Linked DNA regions of Coturnix japonica. The protein of the gene in region 2 binds, or shares a complex with, the protein of the main gene of each other region. Links are inferred from orthologs where the notes say so. Each region holds a gene or a part of one and is shown on either strand. Other genes may lie near its edges.

Evidence for each region. The genes of interacting proteins can lie anywhere in the genome.
Region 1: the proteins of KCND2 (region 2) and KCNIP1 are in contact, whole or in part, in a cryo-EM structure (PDB 7E8E), measured with the Homo sapiens proteins. The link is inferred for Coturnix japonica from reciprocal best matches to the Homo sapiens genes KCND2 and KCNIP1. Residues at the interface, in NP_036413.1 of Homo sapiens: Ala2, Val5, Ala7, Trp8, Pro10, Phe11, Ala12, Arg13, Ala14, Ala15, Ala16, Ile17, Gly18, Trp19, Met20, Pro21, Val22, Ala23, Ser24, Gly25, Met27, Ala29, Pro30, Gln33, Arg35, Lys36, Arg37, Thr38, Gln39, Asp40; in NP_001030009.1 of Homo sapiens: Thr60, Arg62, Glu63, Val66, Leu67, Arg69, Gly70, Phe71, Asn73, Glu74, Phe85, Ile88, Tyr89, Gln91, Phe92, Tyr101, Leu105, Phe109, Phe122, Leu126, Leu129, Leu130, Lys137, Thr141, Leu144, Tyr145, Val162, Ile165, His185, Phe189.

The regions. Positions count from the first base shown.
Region 1 is NC_029528.1:13,395,487-13,406,367, reverse strand, and holds the end of KCNIP1 (Kv channel-interacting protein 1), read right to left. Parts: intron 9,001-10,881; coding exon 8,931-9,000; intron 8,392-8,930; coding exon 8,321-8,391; intron 7,006-8,320; coding exon 6,898-7,005; intron 6,351-6,897; coding exon 6,246-6,350; intron 5,733-6,245; coding exon 5,670-5,732; intron 4,911-5,669; coding exon 4,863-4,910; 3' UTR 4,601-4,862; downstream 1-4,600. UniProt on the Homo sapiens protein: Regulatory subunit of Kv4/D (Shal)-type voltage-gated rapidly inactivating A-type potassium channels. Regulates channel density, inactivation kinetics and rate of recovery from inactivation in a calcium-dependent and isoform-specific manner.
Region 2 is NC_029516.1:21,134,722-21,145,602, reverse strand, and holds the end of KCND2 (potassium voltage-gated channel subfamily D member 2), read left to right. Parts: intron 1-1,560; coding exon 1,561-1,808; intron 1,809-3,328; coding exon 3,329-3,506; 3' UTR 3,507-6,616; downstream 6,617-10,881. Other genes in the region: TSPAN12 (tetraspanin-12), read right to left, coding at 10,541-10,846. UniProt on the Homo sapiens protein: Voltage-gated potassium channel that mediates transmembrane potassium transport in excitable membranes, primarily in the brain. Mediates the major part of the dendritic A-type current I(SA) in brain neurons.

The sequences.
Region 1 (10,881 bases), on a different chromosome or scaffold from region 2:
TGCATGAAGCCGTGTGCCAAACCGTGCAGCCACTGGTATAACCTGGTGCTGTGAGAGGTGCCAGACAGGAGCTTCAACAGCTGTACATCCCTGGGCAGCATCTGTGCCTCTGTCCATGGAAGTGCCATCACCCTGCACAGACAACAGTGCTGGCTGCTCACTTGCTGCTTGCTGGCAGTGCACACAGCCAGCTGGCATGGGCTGCAGTGGGACTGAGGTTGTGTTTCATACAGAAACCTTTATTTTTCACATTTCTGCAAGTGTGCAAAACAATGCTCCTTGTCTTGGGATGTGCCAGTGGATATATTATACTCTACATGATAAAGCCGACCAAATCTTCATATACGTATCTACACCTATACAGATATATATCGTCTAGTAAAATTTCTTCTGCAATCCTCCATGTGCCAGAATGGATGTTTTCAACAAACCAGAGATAAAGGGACATGGAGAGCTTTATTTTTCATCTCTCTACAATAAAGTGGTGCTTTCACGTTCTTCATTGTAGTCCCCGTTACCTGGATGTACTCGAGCAAAATGCCAAAGAGAAAACAAAGATGTCTATAAGTGTTTAGTTTTTACTGTTCCAAAATACTACTGGTGAAGCAGGTTGAGCATTTCCAAGCTCTGATTCACACCAGAGACAAACAGAGGTGTACATCACCACACCCAACAGACAAGCACCCCCGATCAGCAATGGAAACAAGTCATTACCATGTAAACGTTGCTTGAGCAGTTTAACAGCCCATATGCAGACTGATATGAGGTTCCATCAGCCTCCTTTGTAAAGACCTGACTGCACATTGTTAACCTGACAGCATCTCGTAAGAGAAAAATACATACTGGGTGTACAGGAAGACGCCCTCCTTCAGACATGTAGTTTTTATTATTAAAATCCACATCTTTAAAACCATTCAACAAAATTTAATACAAACTGCCATCGGATAACAGCATTTTTAATAGAAGCGATGCACCGCCGCTCCACCAGCATGGCTTTAGTTTGCACGACTGACACCAGCAGCACTTTGCCACAAGTCTTTCATGGCACACCCACGAGCAACGAGCTGCTGCCATCTTAGCAGTGATCACACACAGACATGAAGGTGCTCTGCTCTTACCGTGTGCTGCAGCCAGGCAATGCCAAAGTCCTGCCCGCGGCGCCGGAACCTTCAAACATCCGCACCCTCAGGTTTGCAACTCAACATACAGTTACTGACAGTATTGCAATGCGTAACAGGAAAACATACATTGACAACAACAGACAGATTACATTGTTTGCATTTTTTTTTTTGCATCATCATTCATCATATTCCTATCTTTCAACAGATGGTTGCCTAAAGCACATGTTAGAAAGGCTCTTTTCAGAAAACGCTGGCATGAAAATGCAGATTAATGCTCGCAAGTAGTGAAACAGTCAGACTTACAATGCAAGACATTACTGAAACATCCACAGCTTCAAGGAAATGTGCACAGCTGAGAGCACTGGCGGAGTCTGACTGTACCTTAGCAGGCGGCGCAGCAGCCACCTTCACATAACTGGCAGGAGGATTGATGGCGAGATGAGATCAGAACAGTATACTATGTTTTATTTAGAAAGCCGTAGCGGTAAGTATTTGCCATAAATATTGCAAGCCTCATTTATGAGCGATGAGAGGCTTTGCAAGCTTACAAACTAACGTTCACCGAGAACATAAAAGGCAAACCCAAAGACATTTCCATGCAGAGTACGACTCTCTCACAGTCACTGGATCTCAGTCACCTGCCACACGCGTAGATGCTGCTCATGGAAAGCCCTGAGGCCCTCGGGCACTGATGCACACAAGCCTCTGGCTGCTATCAGTGGGATTCGTAGACAAACACAGGAGATTAAATGGTTTCACAAAGGCAACTGCTCTGTCACAGCCAGAATTTACGATCAGAGCTACAGGAAATACTGCTGTTGTGCGTCACGTGGCAAATCCTCCTATTGCAGCAACAGACTTACAATCACAGAATTGTCTGAGTTGGAAGGAACCCTTTAAGGACATCTGGTCCAACTCCCTGCACTGAACAGGGACACCTGCACTAAATCGGGTGCTCAGAGCCCCATCCAGCCTGACCTTGAGCGTCTCCAGCAGTGCTGCATCCATCTCATCTCTGAGCTCTGATTATGGCTTAGGGGCAGAGTCAGGACCAGAGCAGCTTCCAGCATCTCCCTCTCTTCCTAATGCATTACTGGGAACTGAAAAAAACCTACAGCAGCGCAGAAGAGGAGATACCAAAAGCATAAGGGCACTAATAGTAGCCTGGCTTCAGCAATGCACTTAAAGATACATTGAGAGTAACATGCAGATGTTTCAGGTACGTTGCTCAGTCAGGCTGTACTTGAACCAGAGCAGTCCTGGTCCATGGGACACAACACTTCTGTTAGAGGAGGCTGAAAACACAACTGAGGCCAAATTCATCAGAGTGGCCCAAAATATTACCTTAGCTCCAGGGACTGCAAGTATCACATGGCTAATAACGTTTCTGTTCTAATGAAAAAGGCACATTCCAGTTCTGAGAAATATTCAGGCTACATATGCCATCTTGTGAGCACATTTGGAGCATCAGTGTTAGAGGTGAAAGACACTGAATAACTCAGCACAAATGGTTCCTTTCCCTTTTCTTTTTGGTCCAGTGAAGTTACCTGCTCAGACTGACAACAGACAAATGCTCTGCAGGGATGGAGGAGAAAAAAGCAGGTTGCTTGTTACACTGAATGCTGTTATTTGCCCAAGTGGTTACAAGAAGAATCATGAAGGAACGACATAAGTTTGGGGCATTATTCCAGCTACAGCTGATGTCCTTATCAAGTGCCTATATTAAACAAAAACCAAAGAGACAATACTGGACAGCTGGAAGACAAGGCTACTCTCATGGCACTGCATCCCCTTCTGTGAATCCCAGCACATCACTGGAGCTGCTCTGCTTCTGCTAGAAGGAATTAATTTGTGGTAACTGTGTGCAAGGCAGCCAAAAGGACAGACTAAAGTGTTATTCCTGCATACAAGTAACTCCCCTCAGCTGACCAGCTGTTTTGATGACAAGCGGTCAACTTGGGGGAAGAAAGCAAAGAACACATGGAAGAGTGTGCAGAAGCACAGTAAAAGGGATCATGTCCCATCTTAAGGAATACACACAGCATTACTCTAGTACCGATCAGACCTACTTCTACAACCAGGAATATTTCAATAGATTATTATTATTCTTTTTTAAATATAAAACATAGGGCTGCAGAAACTAGGCTTACTATATCTTTAGTGTTATAAAAAGCTTCCACTTACATAATATTTAAAATATATCTTCAGTGCCAACAGTGTATTTGCAATATAATATCTGACATAATAAAAATATATGCTTACTGGACAGGAAAGATGCTGGACTACAACAGGGGATTCTCCTTTGTGTGTGGTTTGTGCAGCTGGCACAGGTGGCTGCTCCCTCCTTCCCTTGGTTTCTCAACCATCATCTGCTTGGGAACAACCATTTTCCTTAAGAGTCCTCTGCAAAACAGGCTGACGTGTTCCTCATCAGACACATCTACTGGACATAATCCAACCTTGGTATAAATTCGTTACATGACTCTTCCTGCTTCACTCTTGAAAGAAACAAATCAACAATTCCCCACAGCAAAGCTTTTTGGGGTGTTAGTAAAGATCAGGACTTGTACGAGTCATGAAACTGCCCTGTGGGATACAGATTTTGCTCTAGAAAACGTTGAGCTACCCTGGCAGACATTCCTGATACTAACAGCAACCATGTAGGTGCCATTAATCTTATTTGGTACTCTGTGGGTGCCAGGGCCCTTATGTGGGAACGCAGCTGCACCACCCGGCCCTTTTCTGTCACAAGTAAATCTAGAAAGCTTAAATAAATCCACAGAGTAGAAAACACTTTGCTTTAACATCTAATGGAGAAATACAAATGTTCAAGTGATGCATCTAGAAAGCAGGTGCCAAACTACAGCAAAAGGATCATCACATACGGCCATGGTGCTGCTGAGGTGCACAATGGAGAACTGCTAAGTGTCCCACAACACACTGGGACTGCAGAAGGTGGCTGCAACCAGAGCAGGTATGCATCTTTCTCTGCCAGCCCTTATAAACCTACCTGGTCCTGCAACAACTTACCATCAGAAATCAGATTTGCTCTACAGTTTGAAATGTAAGTGCTACTCATGCTTTGCTCCTTTCTGACTAACCCTGGCATGAAGTTCCTCTAGTTCATGCGCTCAGGAATAGCTCCACCAGCCTCAGCGTGGTGGCACCAGTGCATGTGAGAAGCGAGATCTCTGCAGAAATGGGGATGCTGGCTACATGGGCTGCCTGCTTAACGTCCTGGGTACATTCACTGTTCATTTTTACAGATGGCCCTTGTAGATTCTTTTTTTTCTTTTTTTCTCAAAGCAGATTAAAGGCAAGGCATCCAGAAAACATTCAGCCATATGGTTGTACGGACCGAGCTTTTTGCTTGTAATAGGTGGCTGAATATGCTATCAACATGAGCTATCATACGCAATCAAGCTTGCTAGACTAAAGCAGGACTTGTGGCTTGCAAACAGAATGCTGTATATTACTCATTGAGCTTCGAGCAGCAGCTCTCTCGTCAGGTTTTATTAAAGTATTTGCATGCTTCCAAAACAAAATAGAGGTCCACCGCTGTCTCTCGAGGAGGAGAGATGGGATCAGTTGCATTCAGTTGCCATTTGGTTGGAGATGTCATACAAAATCCTCACACGCTGGCTGAATAGAACATGGCTGAATTGTAAAAGGCTTTCACCCAGAAAGGAGGTCTTTGTTACACACGCAGTCTCTGACTCTTCCTGTGCTTTCCAGGCATGGTTACATTACGTTCTCAAAGAGCTGTAAGGACCGCATGATATTGTCATCCTGAAAGCAACGAGAAGACATGTTCATGAAAGGAGCACTGAGGAACACAACTCCTAACCTGGCAGGGCACAGAAGGGGGCTCTGCAGTCAACAGCCTTGCTTTCCATTTCAGTGAGCTTAAATGGATTCAGCAGTTAGGTCCTGATTCAGAAAAGCAGTGCTTTTACTTCAGCACCTTGACTGCTTTGAGGCATGCAAGCACAGAACTTTCTCCTAAGCTTGGCTTGCAGCATGGGTTGTGCTTCATTGAAGAAAAGCTGAACCAGCACTGAAGCTGCGCCCTCAGACATAGGCACCCATTGCTCTGCACTGATCCTGAATATGAAGGTGTGTATTTAGCTCCATCTGCCTCTAAAGCCCAAATGAAATGACAGCTTTGAATGGACAAACATGCTGCCATGAAGGACCACATCCTCACAGAAACACCTCGGGTTCAAAACAAGAATGCATGAAATCCCAGCCTCTCTCAGGCCCCTGGTCCAAATGAGAGAGTTGGAGACGTATAAGGGAAAGACCAGATTGTTTCTCAAGAAGCACTGAAAGTGTACTTAGAATTATTCTGGTTATTACTTCAAAGAAACAATGACATGTTTCCCTATAAACTCAGTTATTCCAACACTCAGAATAACTGCAACACCAAAATTATGTTCCAAATTGAGCAACTTCAGAGATCTACAGCATCATTCCTCCATCTTCTTAGGAATGATGGCCTCGTGGCATGTCCTGCACCTTTTGTTGAGCTTAGCATTTCATCCTTACCTCCTGACACGATTCGATAAACTCATCTAAAGTTACAACACCATCTTTGTTTTTATCCATTTTCTGCAAAATAAAAACAAGCATTTAGTTCCCATAGATAACACGGTGGTTCTTGTACAACATCTTATGTGCTGTAACTTGAATAAACCTAGGGCATGTGACCTACATTACAGACTTAGTATCACTGGTTAAATTTGCTGGCAGCTAAAGACTGGTTCACTCTTGTATTTGGAGAACTTTGGTCATCTCCACTTGTACCTTTCTTATACACATGCAGCAACCTCTGCTCATATTACATGATTTATTTCTTCACTGCCTTACCATATTATTGCTGTCTGTCTTTATGGACAGTTGATAGGAGAAGCACCAAATGACTGTGATACATGCCATTGCAAAGGTTTGGGCTAAGTCAGAAAGGATACCTCAGACTCAAGAATTCAGCAGGCACTGTAGTGCTCGGTTGCTACTAGAATTTGTTTTAGGATGTACAGTAGGAAACAGCAAGACAGCTGGGATTAATCTTAAAGTGCATCAGTGAATAGCTCAGGTGTTGGGAAGTCATCAGAAATCAAGTACCTGGAAGAACATTTCTACGTGCTGCCTTGGAGCATCTTCCTTCAGCACTGGGTACGTGTACTTTCCCATCATATCATAGATTGCCTTTACTATATCCATCATCTCCTGCAGTAGTGACATGACAAGAGAAGCACAACAGGGAAATTAATAGAAATGATAGCACATTTATTTCACTTCCCTTTTCTTCACATTCTCCTGTTAACAAAACAGCACAGATCTCATACCCATATCTGCTGTCAGCCCCAAGAACACATGCATGCAGACAGATGCATCATCAGATACATGCTAACCTATAAATCCGGGGGGCTTGTGGTGCTCTGGGTGAGCCCACATCACACCTCCCAGTGCAGCCAGAAGCCCCTTATATGCCTTGGTCACTGAGTACCTGCTGTCATCATCCCCTCCCCCTCAAAGTACTGCATTGCTCATAGATTAAACCAGGATTTTTCCCCAGGTAAGAGCCAACCATTAAAGCCAGCATAACCATAGGAAAATGCATCTATAATACAATCACTTTGCACTTTTTTAGACAGAAAAACACTCAGGTCCAGTTTCTATGTTTGATGAACTCTATGCAACATTAATTGTGCTACGCAACAGAAACAAGTCAGCTGTCATAGAAATCAACCACATTTGTCACAAACAGCCCTACCTCCTTGTTTATGTAGCCATCCTTATTTATGTCGTACAGGTTAAACGTCCACCTTAGCTTTTCATGAACTGTTCCCCGCAACAGAATGGACAACGCCATCACAAAATCCTGGTTTGAAGCAGAGAGAGAAATGAGAATCTGAGTCTCCTTTCCCGAGTCAAATCCCTCACTACATCCACTGAGGGAGTTCCCTTTCTAGGATGAATGTATCCTCTCTGACTGAACTCAATGGACACAGCACTCGCTGAGATGACCCGAGCAGTGTTAATAAATGTGTAAGAGGTAACTGGGAACAACCCCAACAGTCCTCAATTACTCTACTGTGCATCCCTCTCTGTGCCCACCTTGAGAGGGATGGCCAGATTCCTCTGCCACACAGGGAAGCTCAGGTTTTGTCCTCTGGCAAAACACAACACATTTAGCCAGGTGTGTTTCCCACCTCTACTAACTCAATCTGGGACATGGTATTTTGTTTGCATTTTCGGTTTACAGCGGAGTTATTGCTTCCAATAACACTGATTTATTGTTTGTGCTGCACAATGGTTCAGCAGCACTGCTGTATTTGTTATTATAGGCAGAGCTTTAAGTTAAAGCAACTACATTCTACCTGGTGCCTCATTTAACACACTTGGTCTGCCCTGTGTCATCTCCACTGGCTCTGCATGGGCAGAGCACCGCTTCCTAAAGACCTTTGTTCCTTTTTACCCACACTCAAGAGAAATTAAAGTCTGCTGAACAATACAAAAAAGGGGACAAAATGCTTACATTTGATAACCACCAAAGAGACCGATTTGCCAGGAAGGAAAGCTCAGCGTTTTTTAATATACTTGTCTAAGCATTTTGCTGTGGGTCAGTCCATTTAGGATTCTGGAAGTCTCATAAAGCTCTCCACGAAGAGCTGCTACAGGCAGAACTCCCACTGCAGCCATCACTACAGAGATGCATTTACATACAGCAACCTTCCCACATTTGATCAACAATTTCTCTGTCACACCTTGGACTAATGAGGATTTGGCCAGTTTGATTTTCCAGGAACATACACATGAAACCCTGCAATGCATGACAGTTGCAGGAAGCGTGAGCTTCTCTGGTCCTTCTTATCTGTGCCACTCACTGGTCTCTGCTCACATGGGACTTTTAGAGCCCTCTGCTTTCTGCTACATAAACCTCTACACTTTCTCCGTGTGGTATTAACACTCCTATGCTACTGACTAATGGTCTGTTTGTTTCTCCAGTTTTCCACTGGAATCCAATCCATCTGCATGAGAAGCCTGCGTTAAACAGAATGAGATTTGGACGTTTCAGCTTGTCGTAGCCCTCCATAGCCCAGCAAATCCCATAGTTTACAATGAAGAATGGATAGGGAAGCTAAAACACACAGACCCGAGAAAAAGGGCATTAAGACAGGACCCAAAACAGTTACCTCAAACTTCACTGAGCCATTCTGTGCAGTGTCAAATGCGTTAAAGAGATAATGTGCATACATGCTAGCATCTGGAAAACACAAAAGGCATCGATTGGTACAACAGCTCCTTATACACCACTGGCTCTCAGCAACTTCTCATTCAGCATAAAGCCATCCTTAATGCACTGCCACTCTGTGAGTCAGCAAACATTAACATAGACTTGCAGAAACCACAACCCCATCCCACTGAATGCAAAAGTTTTTATTGCACAGAGCATGATCTGGATTGTGGGGCAGTGCTTGCAAGAAAGAATGCAAAAAGAAGCACACGAGCCTATCTCCAGAGCCAATGCAGCATTAGCTCCAGCAGCAACTCCATCTCACAGCAGCACATTGCTCTGTGGCTGATGACTACTGGCAATCTCTAACATGGGTTTGCCTTTATTCCTGTTACCCAGCTGTTCAAAGGGCCTTCATCAATGTTCTTTCCTTGCTCGCGTTTTTGTGCAAGATCCTACAGCCCTTACCTCACTTTCCTAGCACAGAGTATCCAAGCAGCTTTGCAGCCAGGTGACAACAATGAATGTTAAGGAACGCTTCAATAAACCTAACAAAGCATCCAGCTTACCTCCATGAGGAAAAAACTGTGCATAGATCTGTTTGAATGTCTCTTCATTAACCACCCCGCTAGGACATTCCTGTTGGAAAAAAAAGAAACAAAATCCAATCAAAACACACACCCCAGCTTCATGTTAAGGTTCATTTGCAAAACTGCATGAGCCCAAAGAGAGCAATTAGACAGATCACACCCCTGCTCCCACAGCACTCCGGATGCTTGAGCTGCACAGCTGAAGAAATTAAAACAATTCAGATTTCACTCCAAGCATCTCACAGATTTGGTTCGCCATTATCAACATTGTTAACGGTGTTTTCAGCAGTGTTTAATTCCTTTTTTTTAAACAGATGACAGCCAGCTCGTGTTTTCTGTCACACAAAGGCCTCCTTTAATACATCACAAATCACTGCCAGCTAACACTTCCCTGCCCCATCCCTCTATATTAGCCCCAAGTAGCCAGATACCCCCACACCAGCTCCATGGAGGCTAACAGTACATGCCAACAAATTCTCAAACACAAGCACTGGTATGAGGCTTGAAACTAGATCATCACTTCAGGACAGCCCAAATAAAATTCAGGACCAGGTTTAGTTTTGCTGTGTGCCTCAATCCAGAGGCTTAATTAAAAAGCAAACCCCAAATCTCACAAACCAAGGCAAGTCAGCACCAGGATGTAGCTTTATCTCCCAGTCAGCCACCCTGAACCACTGCCCATCCCTCTGCACAGAATAACCTCCACTGTTCCTATTTAGACTCAGAGATCCAAAGCCTTATCTTGTTCAAAGGCCCCATTTGCATGACTTTGTTTAAAAGCTCATCCATCCTGTGATATAGCATACTTGAGTTCAACCACAGTTATATTTTTACCCAACCAGCACAAGTGACAAAATCCATTGTCAACTGCTGCTTACAGGACGTTGAACTTGGGATGAGCAAACTCAGGAAGCCTGAGAAAATCCCTTTGAATCCATGACACAAAGTCAGAGGAAGATTCAAGCCAGTGAGTTATTGATGAGTTCTTTAGGTTGTCTTTTAAGAACAAAAGGACCTTGACAAGAAATTCTGCCATCAAGAAAAGCTTATTAACAGAAAATATGTCTGATCTGCAGCGTCACCTGCTGCTGACGCGCATTCCCCAGCCACGGGAAGGGCAGAACAAAGAAATCACTTCATCCTATGTGAGTCACAGGAGAGCAAGGAGGGGCACTTCTGGCAACACCAAAAGCACCCCCCTTCCTCACCACTACAATGCTTTAAGACAGTTTATAACTACAGGGACTACCTATTATGCATCAAACCTTCAGGAGCGCAGTACTGACACTGATCGCCCTGTTTAGCTGTACATAACAGGCTGATTTCAGACACATACGTTACTAGCAATTCATTTGTGCTTAACTGATCACCATTTTGTTTTGTAAGAGTCGAATAAAGCTCAAGAGGCCTCATTAATGCTACAGCACATCTTAAGGCAGCTGACTCGAAAGAAATCTCTCCTGTGAAAAGGAGCAGATAAACTCTGTGCCAGTTGAAATTCCACTGAAGGCAGCAGAGGTTTCCTCATGCAAGGGAAATTTCATAGCAGCATGAAACAGCACACCCCACTCCAATGCACACAAAGCTTTCCTTTGACAGCAGCGGGTTAAATTTCATGTAAATACCTCATTTTTGCTATTAAACCTATGAATTCTTCCCAAGTGTCTGACGTGAGAAGTGAACACTTGGTTTGTATTGTTGGCAAGCACAGAAACAATCCCAGCCTTTCCCAAAACCTCTCTACCAAGCACTGGCAGCATTCATCACATGTATGGATCGACCTTCTCCAACTTCTACAACACTACAGCAAAGCCAGCGTGCTCCCAACAATCCCTTCATTGTTTGGGGTTGCTGCTCTCTCAATGAATCTTTGCAAAGTGTCCCTTGCAGATGGCAGCCATTCCCCTAACAGAATCCCACTAACACCTGG
Region 2 (10,881 bases):
GTTGCTCCATAAAAGTTTTAGAAAGAACAAAATAATTTTCAGTGGGAAAATGAGCAGAACTGTTGGCAAGTAGAATGTAAGCCCTGAAAGAGAATCTGAAGACAGTGATCAGGTCTTTTTTCTCTCTGAAATTTATGTCCACTGTGTGATAGTGTTCAAAATCTTGTTTGTTGCTGACACATGCTTTAGATTAGTCTATTTTCAAGCAAATCTTTTCTTTCCATATCACCTGAAATGGGTATTCTTCAGTATCAGTCAATTCCACGCACATTTATGTTTGAGTGAAGGAAAAGAAGAAACAGAAATGATGATAAGCCTATGAAGGTGTTTCCATTTTTATCAACAGTTGGCTGCAGCTGATACACTATTTATTTTGCTCACATATTTTATATTTGCACTGTACCACAATTCTCCTGGGAAACGTGAGCATCTTTCTAATTAGTGAGTCCTTCTTTGAGGGGAAGATAGTTTTTTCTCTTTCCAATAGATAAACATGCAGCAGGCTAACAAACCTGACGTGAATGACACTGGGAAGAGTGTGAAACAGAGCATAGCCCCTAAACATTGCCAGGATATGTAGATAATTCCATTGATAACTTCAAAGAGGTTAGAAAAAAGGAGGCTTTCCGTAAGTGCATGTGAATGTGTCTTAATCTCAGTTTAGTTTGGGCTGCTGCTTTGAATACATATAAATATGTGTATATTCTTTCTTTATTTAGTCTCTTCCTATTATCAGCACCACTGCTTCACTGTTTCAAAATGTGGAAATCACAGCTTAATGTGAAGCAATCCCCACTCACTTACCAAGTCAACGTAAATTGCCGTTTGCTTGAATCTAGATTCAGTTCTAGGACAACCCTATGAAATTACTGAATTTTTGTCTGTGCTGGGATTAAGCAAGGATCGCAAGGACAAAGACCTTATTTAATGAAACACTCCATCTTCAGAACTGATTTTGATATTTAGATCTGCAGTAATGAGGAGCATACTGAATGGTTTTATATAACTGTTTCACTATCTCCTGCAAACAAAGGGTATATTTATTTGATTCTTTTTCTATTACATACATGCATACCTTGAAACAGTGCTTCAAATCCTGCTTTCTAATGTGTAATCCAAAACTGACGTATTATGAAGTCATCTGAGAAATATTTATCAATTTTACTCTAGTTTTGTTCAGCAAATCCTATTTCTCAATGGCATTTAGGGCATTTACATAAGCACCACTTTTATATTTACAAATAAACATAATCCCCCATTTTCTGGCACTCCTCAGATAACAGACATTCATAGCGCAGCCTACGATATGGTTTTACAAAAGAACTTGGGTTATTTTTTCATAGCTAAGTACCTTGAGAGTTTTGTTCCAGTGTTTACATTCGTACTGGTATTCAGCCCAGGCTACTATGGGCTAAACACTGTAATCAAAACTAAGCTGTCTAACTTTACTGATTTATTCAGTGGTACCGATTTAAGCCTTTAAGTAAGCATACTTAATATGTCCATTTTAATTAACTTTCTGTGTGTGCTTTGTCCCTTTGCTGGGTTCCTTTGTGCTAGAATCATGAGTTTGTGGATGAACAGCTTTATGAAGAGAGCTGCATGGAGGTTTCTACAGTCAATCGACCCCCGAGCCACAGCCCCTCTCTTTCATCCCAACAAGGCGTCACTGGCACTTGCTGCTCACGAAGACATAAAAAGACGTACCGCATCCCCAACACTGCCCTCACGGGCAGCCGCCACGGCAGCGTACAGGAGCTCAGTACCATCCAGATCAGATGTGTAGAGAGGACACCTCTGTCTAACAGGTACTTCTTAGCATCAGCGCACAAGGAGCTGAAACCTATTTGTTTACTAGGAATACGCTTTGGCCTCCACAAATAGCCTGGGAGGCTGCAGATAAAACTGAAATTGTCATCTAGAATGGACAGTAGTCCTGAAATAGCCCACACTCTGCTTTCTCCTAATGTAATTCTAAGGTAAAAGAATAGTCAGTCTCTTCTCATTTCTGCCCTCTTATGTCCTCCCCATAAACCGTTGTGTGCTCTTTGCAGAGAATAGCATCCAGGGACTCCAAATGATATAAAATACCAAACAGTACAGCTCACAGGCAAACACAGAAGAAGAAAAAGCACAGAAAAATGTGCAGTTCTCATACACAAGACAAGCAAATGGGGAATAAACGAAAAATATGCTGTTTATTTAGTTCAGAAACGTAGCACAAATTACACTTCCAAATAAGGGAGAGAAAAGGGAAATAAAAGTAGATTGCCAGAGTCGTAAGCGCTGTAGTAATAAGAAGGTCTCTACCAAACAGAAAGTATGAAATGGGTAAGAAAAATGTATTTTGAGTAGTTATTACAAAAGTGAGGAATGTACAGTTTAAGTTTGCAATTTATTGAAAATCTCTGTACTCTCACAAATATACTGTTTGACTTTTAGGTGTATCTGAGCACCATCTCTTGAGAACATAACAAAGGCATCAGAGGGCTCAGAAATGTTGAACTCAGATGTGCTGCCATTTAAAAAAGATGTGTTCTCATCATGAGTTACTAGAAAGATTCACTTTTTAAGTGACATTTTGAGTAGCTTGCTTTAAATAGTTATTAGGTTTGGATTTCAATTCTATGAATAATTCAGCAGCTTGTAGCTAATGGAGTTTTTCAGCTCTTGGTCACCACAGAGCTCCAATCTATCTTGGATTGCCTGGACCCATCCTTTCTCTGCTGGCAGACTTTCTTGCACCGCACATCCCATCACAGAATAACTAACACAGTGAGAGGAAAAAAAAAAAAAAAAAGAAAAGAAAAAGAAAAAAAAAAACTAAATAACAACAAAGTTTGAACTGCCAGTCTCACCTTTTGTGAGTTAGCTTTAAGTTTCTTATTATGCTGAGTTTCACTAACTCAAACAATTTGTGTTCGTATCACTGCATCTTACTACTGACGGTATGTAATGTACAAAGGCTCTTACATAAAGATGACATCGGGGATTCAGTAGGGTACGGGGAATTTCACTTAGTTTCTGCTTCCCTGCAATGTGAGGCATTTGTCGATGCTGTTTGCTCTCCAGTGAGCAGCCCAAATGCTCAGAAACACTTAGGTGATGAGCTGAGAAACTTTTAGAAGCGTAGAAGGTGGGAAAAAAGGGGGGAAAGGCCATAGCCCTGGGCCGCCTGCTCCTGGGGTAGGTGTTGGTAGGGGCCCAGTGCCACTATGTCCCTCTGAACTCCATAACAAGGCAGGGCAGAGAGGATTGCACTGAGCACACATCAGGTGTGCAGGAATATGGACTTGCTTTCTTCATGAGTTCTTGTTTCTTCCTCCAGCCGATCCAGCTTAAATGCCAAAGTGGAAGAGTGCGTTAAACTAAACTGTGAGCAGCCTTACGTCACTACAGCAATAATTAGCATCCCAACACCTCCCGTCACCACGCCTGAAGGAGATGATAGGCCAGAGTCTCCCGAGTATTCAGGAGGAAACATTGTCAGAGTATCCGCTTTATAAAATAAGGAATTATTTATAAATTAGAATAAAGACCACTTATAAGCTGAGTTCTGCAGAGAGAAACGAGTCCTGAGGAATGAGAGAGCTGACAAAGACAACACCCCCTGATGTGTGTGCCAGCAGCAACGGAGTGAGACATTCAGGAGAACCACAACAATTTGTGGCTGTCAGTGTCACAGCGTGGAAAACAATGGAGTTTCTACATAGTGTTGGAACTGACACACAGTGGAAGTTTCTGTGACCATCCTGACTTACTGTAGAGCACAATGAAATGTCCCCATTGATGCTTCTTCTTATCATGAGAGCTCTTTTTAGAAAGAAAAAAAAAAAGAGAGAAAAAAAATGAAAAAAAAAAGAAAAAGTACACATAAAACAAAAAAAAAAAAGAAACCTGTGTTCCTGCTGAATGCAAAACAAGAAACATTTTGATAACTTGTCTTTTTTTCCTCCTGTTAATAAACCACAAACTTGTTGAGAAACTATTAAAAAAATAAATAAATAAAAGAAAAAATGCTCATAATGAAATATGTTTGTACTGACTGAAAGAAATACAACCATAATGCATGCTGAAATTATTTGGAGCTGTGATCTCAGTTTACTTTTGTTGTTTTTCAGATTAGGCATGATAAAATATTACTGTAGAAAGGGGCATTTCTGTGCACTTACAACAAGCTGATTGTTAATGTTCCATGGTAGTTGTACAAATAACTTCCCTTTGAAAAATGCAGTGTTTCTTATTCAAACACTCATTAGTGTACTAAAGGTGTTCAGTTAGTTCAATATTTACTATTGTTTTATCTTGCTTCCTAGGTACTGTTACAACTGCAATAAGTCATTGTACACCTGTTGTATCAGGAATCAGGATTTGTTTTTCTTTAAGGTATTTTACACAACTTCATCTACACTATAAATGTCTAATGGCAAATATCTACATAATCTTACAGCCAAACCGTGCACCACAAATGTGCTATTCAGTCACTGTTCTTTTTGTCCTCTGTCCTCTGTTTCTATCACAGTTCATTGTCTGCTCCAACATTACCATGCTGTTTGGGATTTCAAGGCTGCTAATGAACAGGCGTAGTCCTTAGTTCTGCAGACATCTTGTCTCATTCTGTATTTTCAGAACAAACCTCTTGTCCAAGTGTAGTGTTGCAGGATCACTCCTATTTAAATTGAGATTGGAACAAAGGCAGTTTGGAGATCAACTAACATTGTTCTCTAAGCCTTCCCTATGGATGTTCTGCAGCATACAGAGTGTTGGCTGCAGTGGAAGATGCTGAAAGACATTCAGTAAAAACAATGGAAAAATTATTCTTGCAGTTATCTACTAACTTGAATCCTAAAATTAGTTTGAGGATTTATATTGTGTTAAGGTATGTAATTCTCTAAGAACACTGATAAATAATGGTTTGGGTCTCAAAGCTATAAAAATGTGACTGATTTCTATTGGAATTTTCCAGTGGGCTGATCTAACAGGTACTATGAAGGCTCTCTTAGTTAAGGTTTTTTGGCTTCATTTTTAGAAGACACTGGTGTTAGCAGAAACCTTTCTGATACAAAAAGGACACTTTTCTTCATGAGAGTGCATTAGATGATGTATCATAATGCTTCATAGGAATGTACACAAACTACCATACATCCTATACATCAAATATACATGGAATATTTGCATATCAGTGCGTACATATATACATCAAGAACACTGGATCAGAAATAATTGCATGTCTGCAAAATAAAATATGCATATAAATCAAAAGACTCGGTACATTAGAGGCCATTACAATAAATGATTAACACAGTTATTTAATAGTTTGAGTAGTATATATTTCAATATAGTATTTGTTAGCATTCTACTGACCTTAAATTTTACATTAGGAGATGACACCCACTAAAAACTGAAACTTGCTGATAGGACACTTTTTACTGCACACACATAATTCTCTGTACCTGTCAACAGAGACTGAAGAGTAGATGATGGACTATCATGCTACAGTATATACACCAAAATGTAACAACTTCACCTATTAGAATTGAATTGCAATCAAAAGGAGCATATAATGTAATACATTATGCTTTTTTTCCTACTGTTTGCTTATTCAGATGCTTGGTTAATTTGCAGTTATCAACTCACTTTTTGTTCCAATCAGAAAAATTTACTGTAAACCGAGCTTCTAAATTTCTTTCAGATTGTAACAGATAGCAGAAGCACAGATTGTCCTCTGACAGAAGAACACTCACTTTGAGTCATTCTGATGTCAGCTATGCTGTGTTGCATGCCTGTCTTTTACCCTGTTAGAAAACTGTGGTATATCTGCTGAAGCTGGTGGGATACCTAAGTTTAAAGGGGTTAACATGAGAGCTAGAACAGACCTTGAGCTTATGCTTACATCCTCCATCTACCCACGGTCACTCATAAAAAACTGGCTTGGCCCCCACCTTGTGCTAAAAGAACTATTGACATAAAACTGCCTTTACACTAGCATATCTGCAACAGCAGCTTAACGCCATATGGTACTTCTTGAGTAGGAACATAGTTAAATAATGTTAAAAGGCAGTTACCAAACCCAGTTTGGGACAGATTACATACAACCCAAGAAACCTATTGACTCCATCAGTTCACGTGTCTCTTAAAAGCTCTTTATTCTCCTTTTTGCATGGACTAAAAGAATTGCACTAGAGCAATACACTTGCATAACAGTTAGTTACATCCCAAAACCAACCTGTACCTTCATTCTTAAATTGCAGTTTAGGGAATAATTTAGTATGATTTTGCAGAATTCTAGTCTTGTCTCATATCTCCACATGCCACATGCGAGATCATTGCGTTATTTTGAATTTGGAAAATACACATTCTTTTGGTGTTTTAGGTGATTTAAATGCTGTTTTGGTAGTGAATGACTGTTGATGACTGTGTAAAATGCATCTGTACTGTACATGAAATGTAATTATTTCTGTGTATCATACAAAGAAACCGAAGCTGTTGTTTTTGACAATTTTGTTTGACAGTCATATATCGTATTTCAGAAGGCAGCATAATACATGTGTTATGCTGAATAAATAGACATTTGAGGAGTACTTAAATAAAACATCTGCATGCTTGAATGGGTCAACCTAGTTTTGCAATAACTTATTCATGGAACTTGTTTTTCTTTTTCTTTTCCTAACATGATTCAAAGAGCACTGAATCTGGGGGCAAGGACCCCCAATACTAGTTCCATGCAAGCACATCTGAGCTCATCTAAACCATAAGAGTCACCAAGACCACTCGGCCAGAGCTGCACCACGGAGCTGCCCATGTTTCCCTTCCACACTCCCTTTGCTAACAGAGCTGCTAAAGGAACCCTTTGCTATTTCATGCCCAGCCTGCAGCAGCAGCAGAGAAAACTGGGGCACTGAATTCTTTTCAGTAATATGAAATCTACCACTCTGTCTTTACTTCTTAGAAAATGAACATATCCAGTCACTGTCTGGATGCATATCCTAGGTGACAAAATCACCTCAAGACTGATATCAAATTCCCTTGATAAAATGTTAGTGCACATGCACATGTGTGAACAAAGTCCTTTTGTAGCGTGGAAGCAGCTAAAAACACACTGCAAATCATTTTGCAGAGGGCAACTGACATTGCAGGTGATGCCATACACCATAGCAATAAGAAGGATAACAGCCAACTTTATCAGGAGCTGAGCCAACCCAGGACATTTTTAACAAGAACGATGGCCTTCCCATAGAATGTCTACAGAGGATAAAGATTTTTGAGGGCTTAAATATACTCACTGTAGAAACACAGTCACTGCTAAATTCCTTTGCAGTGAGAGCTGAACTTGCTGTATGGGAAAGGGTGACATTCAAGGAGGAAATTGGTCTGGAGGAGGATAGACTAGTAAAGTGACAGGATAATAAAGGTTTGGACAGGGAGGGTACTCAGGAAGTAATGTGCTCACTTGCCTGTATCTGGGGCCCACAACAGTTTCATTTTGCCATTGACCATGGAAATATCCGAGGACGTTCAGGTACTCTGGAAAAGCAATTAGCAGTAACTATACAGCAAAAATGATACTGGATATGTAAATGGAGAGCCAGAACAGCGGTCAGGAGTGAACAACAGCCACATTTGGAACTGTAAGATATACCTAATTACCTAGTGTTTTTGATTTCTCACTTGCCCGTATTATGTATCAATTTACTATTCAAGTACTCATTTTCTTGGTATCAAGGCACAAGGAGCAAAGAAAAGGAGGGAGTAATGAATAAATGCAAATAGATGAATAAAAATTTTGATGTATTTAGGATATCCTGAGCTTTTAAAGAAATGTAGTAGATTATACCTGGATTTTGCAGTTTTAGATGCAATCTCATTTCACGTGAATTAAACACAATGCTTTAGTGGTAAAAGCTTTAAAAACTATTTTTAAAATCCCTCCTTGAATCATAATTTAACTGTGTAGTCACTGTCACCAACAGTGTCTCTTTTTACTATTCACTCCTTATAATTTTCCCCTAGATTTACAGAGTACTATTACAAAATCCACGGTTACAAAGAGAAAACAGTTACGTTTCCTCCATAAAGCCTTGTTATACGCTCTGTTGGCAGACACAGCAAGATCTTGTCCAAAGACCAGGAACAGCAAATTTTGCCTCCTAAGAAGTATCCCCATTCTCTCGGATTGTTCAGTATGAAGAAGAGGCAACTGTAAGAATGTTGTGGCAATTCTGCCACGTAACTAGCAATAGAAGACTAGAGGGAATGGCTTCAAGTTGCACCAGGAGAGATTCAAGCTGGACACTTGGAAAAAAATTTCCTCCAAAAGAGTGGTCAGGCACTGGAACAGGCTGCCCAGAGATGGTCCCCATCCTTGGAGGCATTAAAGAAATGTTTAGATGTTTTACAGAGGGACTTGTTTTAGTGTACAAATGTAGCTGGTAGGTGAACAGTTGGACTGGATGATATTGGAGGTCTTTTCCAACCTGGGTGACTCTATGATTTTATGATTCCTCAACCACAACACTGAGGGGCAAAAATGCACAAAATCCCAATCCAACAAACTGCAATCCACCACACAGTTTGTGGTTTGACTTTCTGTCTTTTGGCTGATGTGATTTTGTTCATTTTGGTTTTGAGGAGGAATGAAAACCAAGCAGCACTGGCCCAACCCACTGAGTGACTGCAGGTCACCCTATCTTGGACATGTCTTTTTTTTTCCTACATGGAATCTTGTCTGTAGCTCCAGAAATGCCACCCTGGCTAACTGGAAGGGGAGGGGGACACAGAAATCTTCTGGACATGTGCATTAATTTTGGGCATATGAATTTCTGAAAGGTGCATAAAGGTGTATTTCTTGGAAAGTCATTTTAAGCAAAAAAAAAAAAAAAAATGGGAAGCTCTATCCTTTATCTTTTTTCTAATCTCCCAAAATAAATATTAGCATCTCTGTAGGGGAGGTACAAAAGCAATAGGTAATCTTGCTTGCAACAGTACCTGTGAAGTAATTACACCCACAGGTAGACTGCTGAAAAACAAACATCCCACACAATTGAAGAGTTTAATTTCACCATCCATTGGAAGCTTTCGTAGACACAATAAAAAAGCAACTAAAATTCACAGTTGAGTTTCTTCATGACAGAATAAGTGGAATGGGTAAAGACGCATCAAATTAAATCACATTAGCAGGAAAACCTTCCCAAATGTCACCAAAGCATTCACGCACTGTCTTCATAATAAAAAACCCACTATGGAATTTAAGACAATAGTGATTTTATTGTCTATCAAATCACACCTTGATTTTCTTTTCTTTTACAAATTTCAAAAACAAAGCAAGTATTTCTAAAATGTAGCATGTAAAAACCCATTTGCCACAAACTACTGTAGTCAGTGGAACAAGTATATATTTCTGGAGCGTGGCCGAATGTAAAAATAATCCTATGAAATAAACATTGTTCATAAAAATACAGTAAAATGCACTTTCCCCACCTCAATAAATACATTTTAATGCTGTTTCCAGTTGGCATTTTAAGCTGCTAGAGATCTCTTAATGAAGTACAAGCCAAAGTATAATTTCTCCTTATGAACTTTTACAATTACTTCAATAGCATCCGGAATTGAATGACTACAAGCATTCCCCTTGTAGTCTTTTGTTTCTCTTTCCATGGGAATCACAGACAGAATAAAAGATTTATTTATAAAAATGTGCTACTCTATATTGATCCCCATTTTGGAAAGAATGCTTAGGTTTGTTCTTTTCTTTTTACTAAGAAGCAGTCCACAGAACAAACTGTTTGAAATGAGAATTCTCTAGTACTCAGAAAATTAAAGTCTATTGTCCAGAATCATATTTTTGCTTTTAATCCCTCTTTAATACATTTAAACTTAAAAATTAGTCACATAGTTACATAAAAATATAAGTTTTAGATCATCTTTAACAATAATAACTAAGATAGAGGTTTTGTTAGAAAAAGAAAATCTTGTCCTTTTTACAGATTTTGCAATTTTTTTTTAAATCCAAGTATTTACTTGAATTATAGTTCTGTCATCCATGCACACACAAAAACACACAATTCTATATACACAGATCCCTGATTATTTTAACATATTTTCCAAATGGCTTATTAAAAATGCACAAGTCAATTTCAGTAAAGTCACATTTTGTTTGTCCAACGCACAGTCATCTCAGAAGACAAGTATCTTGATGCTTCCTTAGAGGTTCTGTCCATCTACGTGTGAATGCATCAGTATTTTACACATCTTGTAACAATAAGTTACTGTTACTGTGCCCTGTGAATGAATGCCTTAAAAACAAACAAACAAGAAAACAAAACTAATTCTGTTTCATGGCTCTTTTAAGAGGCTGAAAGGCAGACAGTTGCTTATTTGTCTTACTACAGAGGCCTCTTTATCAATCATTAACTGGTATTGGAAGCACAGGAAAACTGGTCGATTTTGCATACTTAATAGAACAGAATAAAAAATTTAAAACAAACAAACAAACAAAAAACACAATTAAAACCCTGGTAACTTTTTAGATTAATTGTATCACCTACAATTCTTCCATTTCGAAGTGTGTATTAAAGCTGTTTGCTGTAGATGTATGTTCAAAGATTCCTGTTAAGCTTGGTTTCAGTAGCTCCACAGAATGGCATGACAGTTGCTGTGAGGTATCGTTCTTCAGGGACATTATTTGATCTGCCCCAGGATCTCTTCTGTCATAGTAGAGAGCCCACAGTAAAGTAATAGTGAGGATCATAGCCAAAATCTGTGTTACTCCAATAGAGATTCCAAGAAATCTCAGTACTTGTAATTGCTTCGTCCCCCTCAGAAATGTGTACATTTTTTTACCGCATCCCTATGAAACAAAAATAGACAGAAAGTGATTAGTCA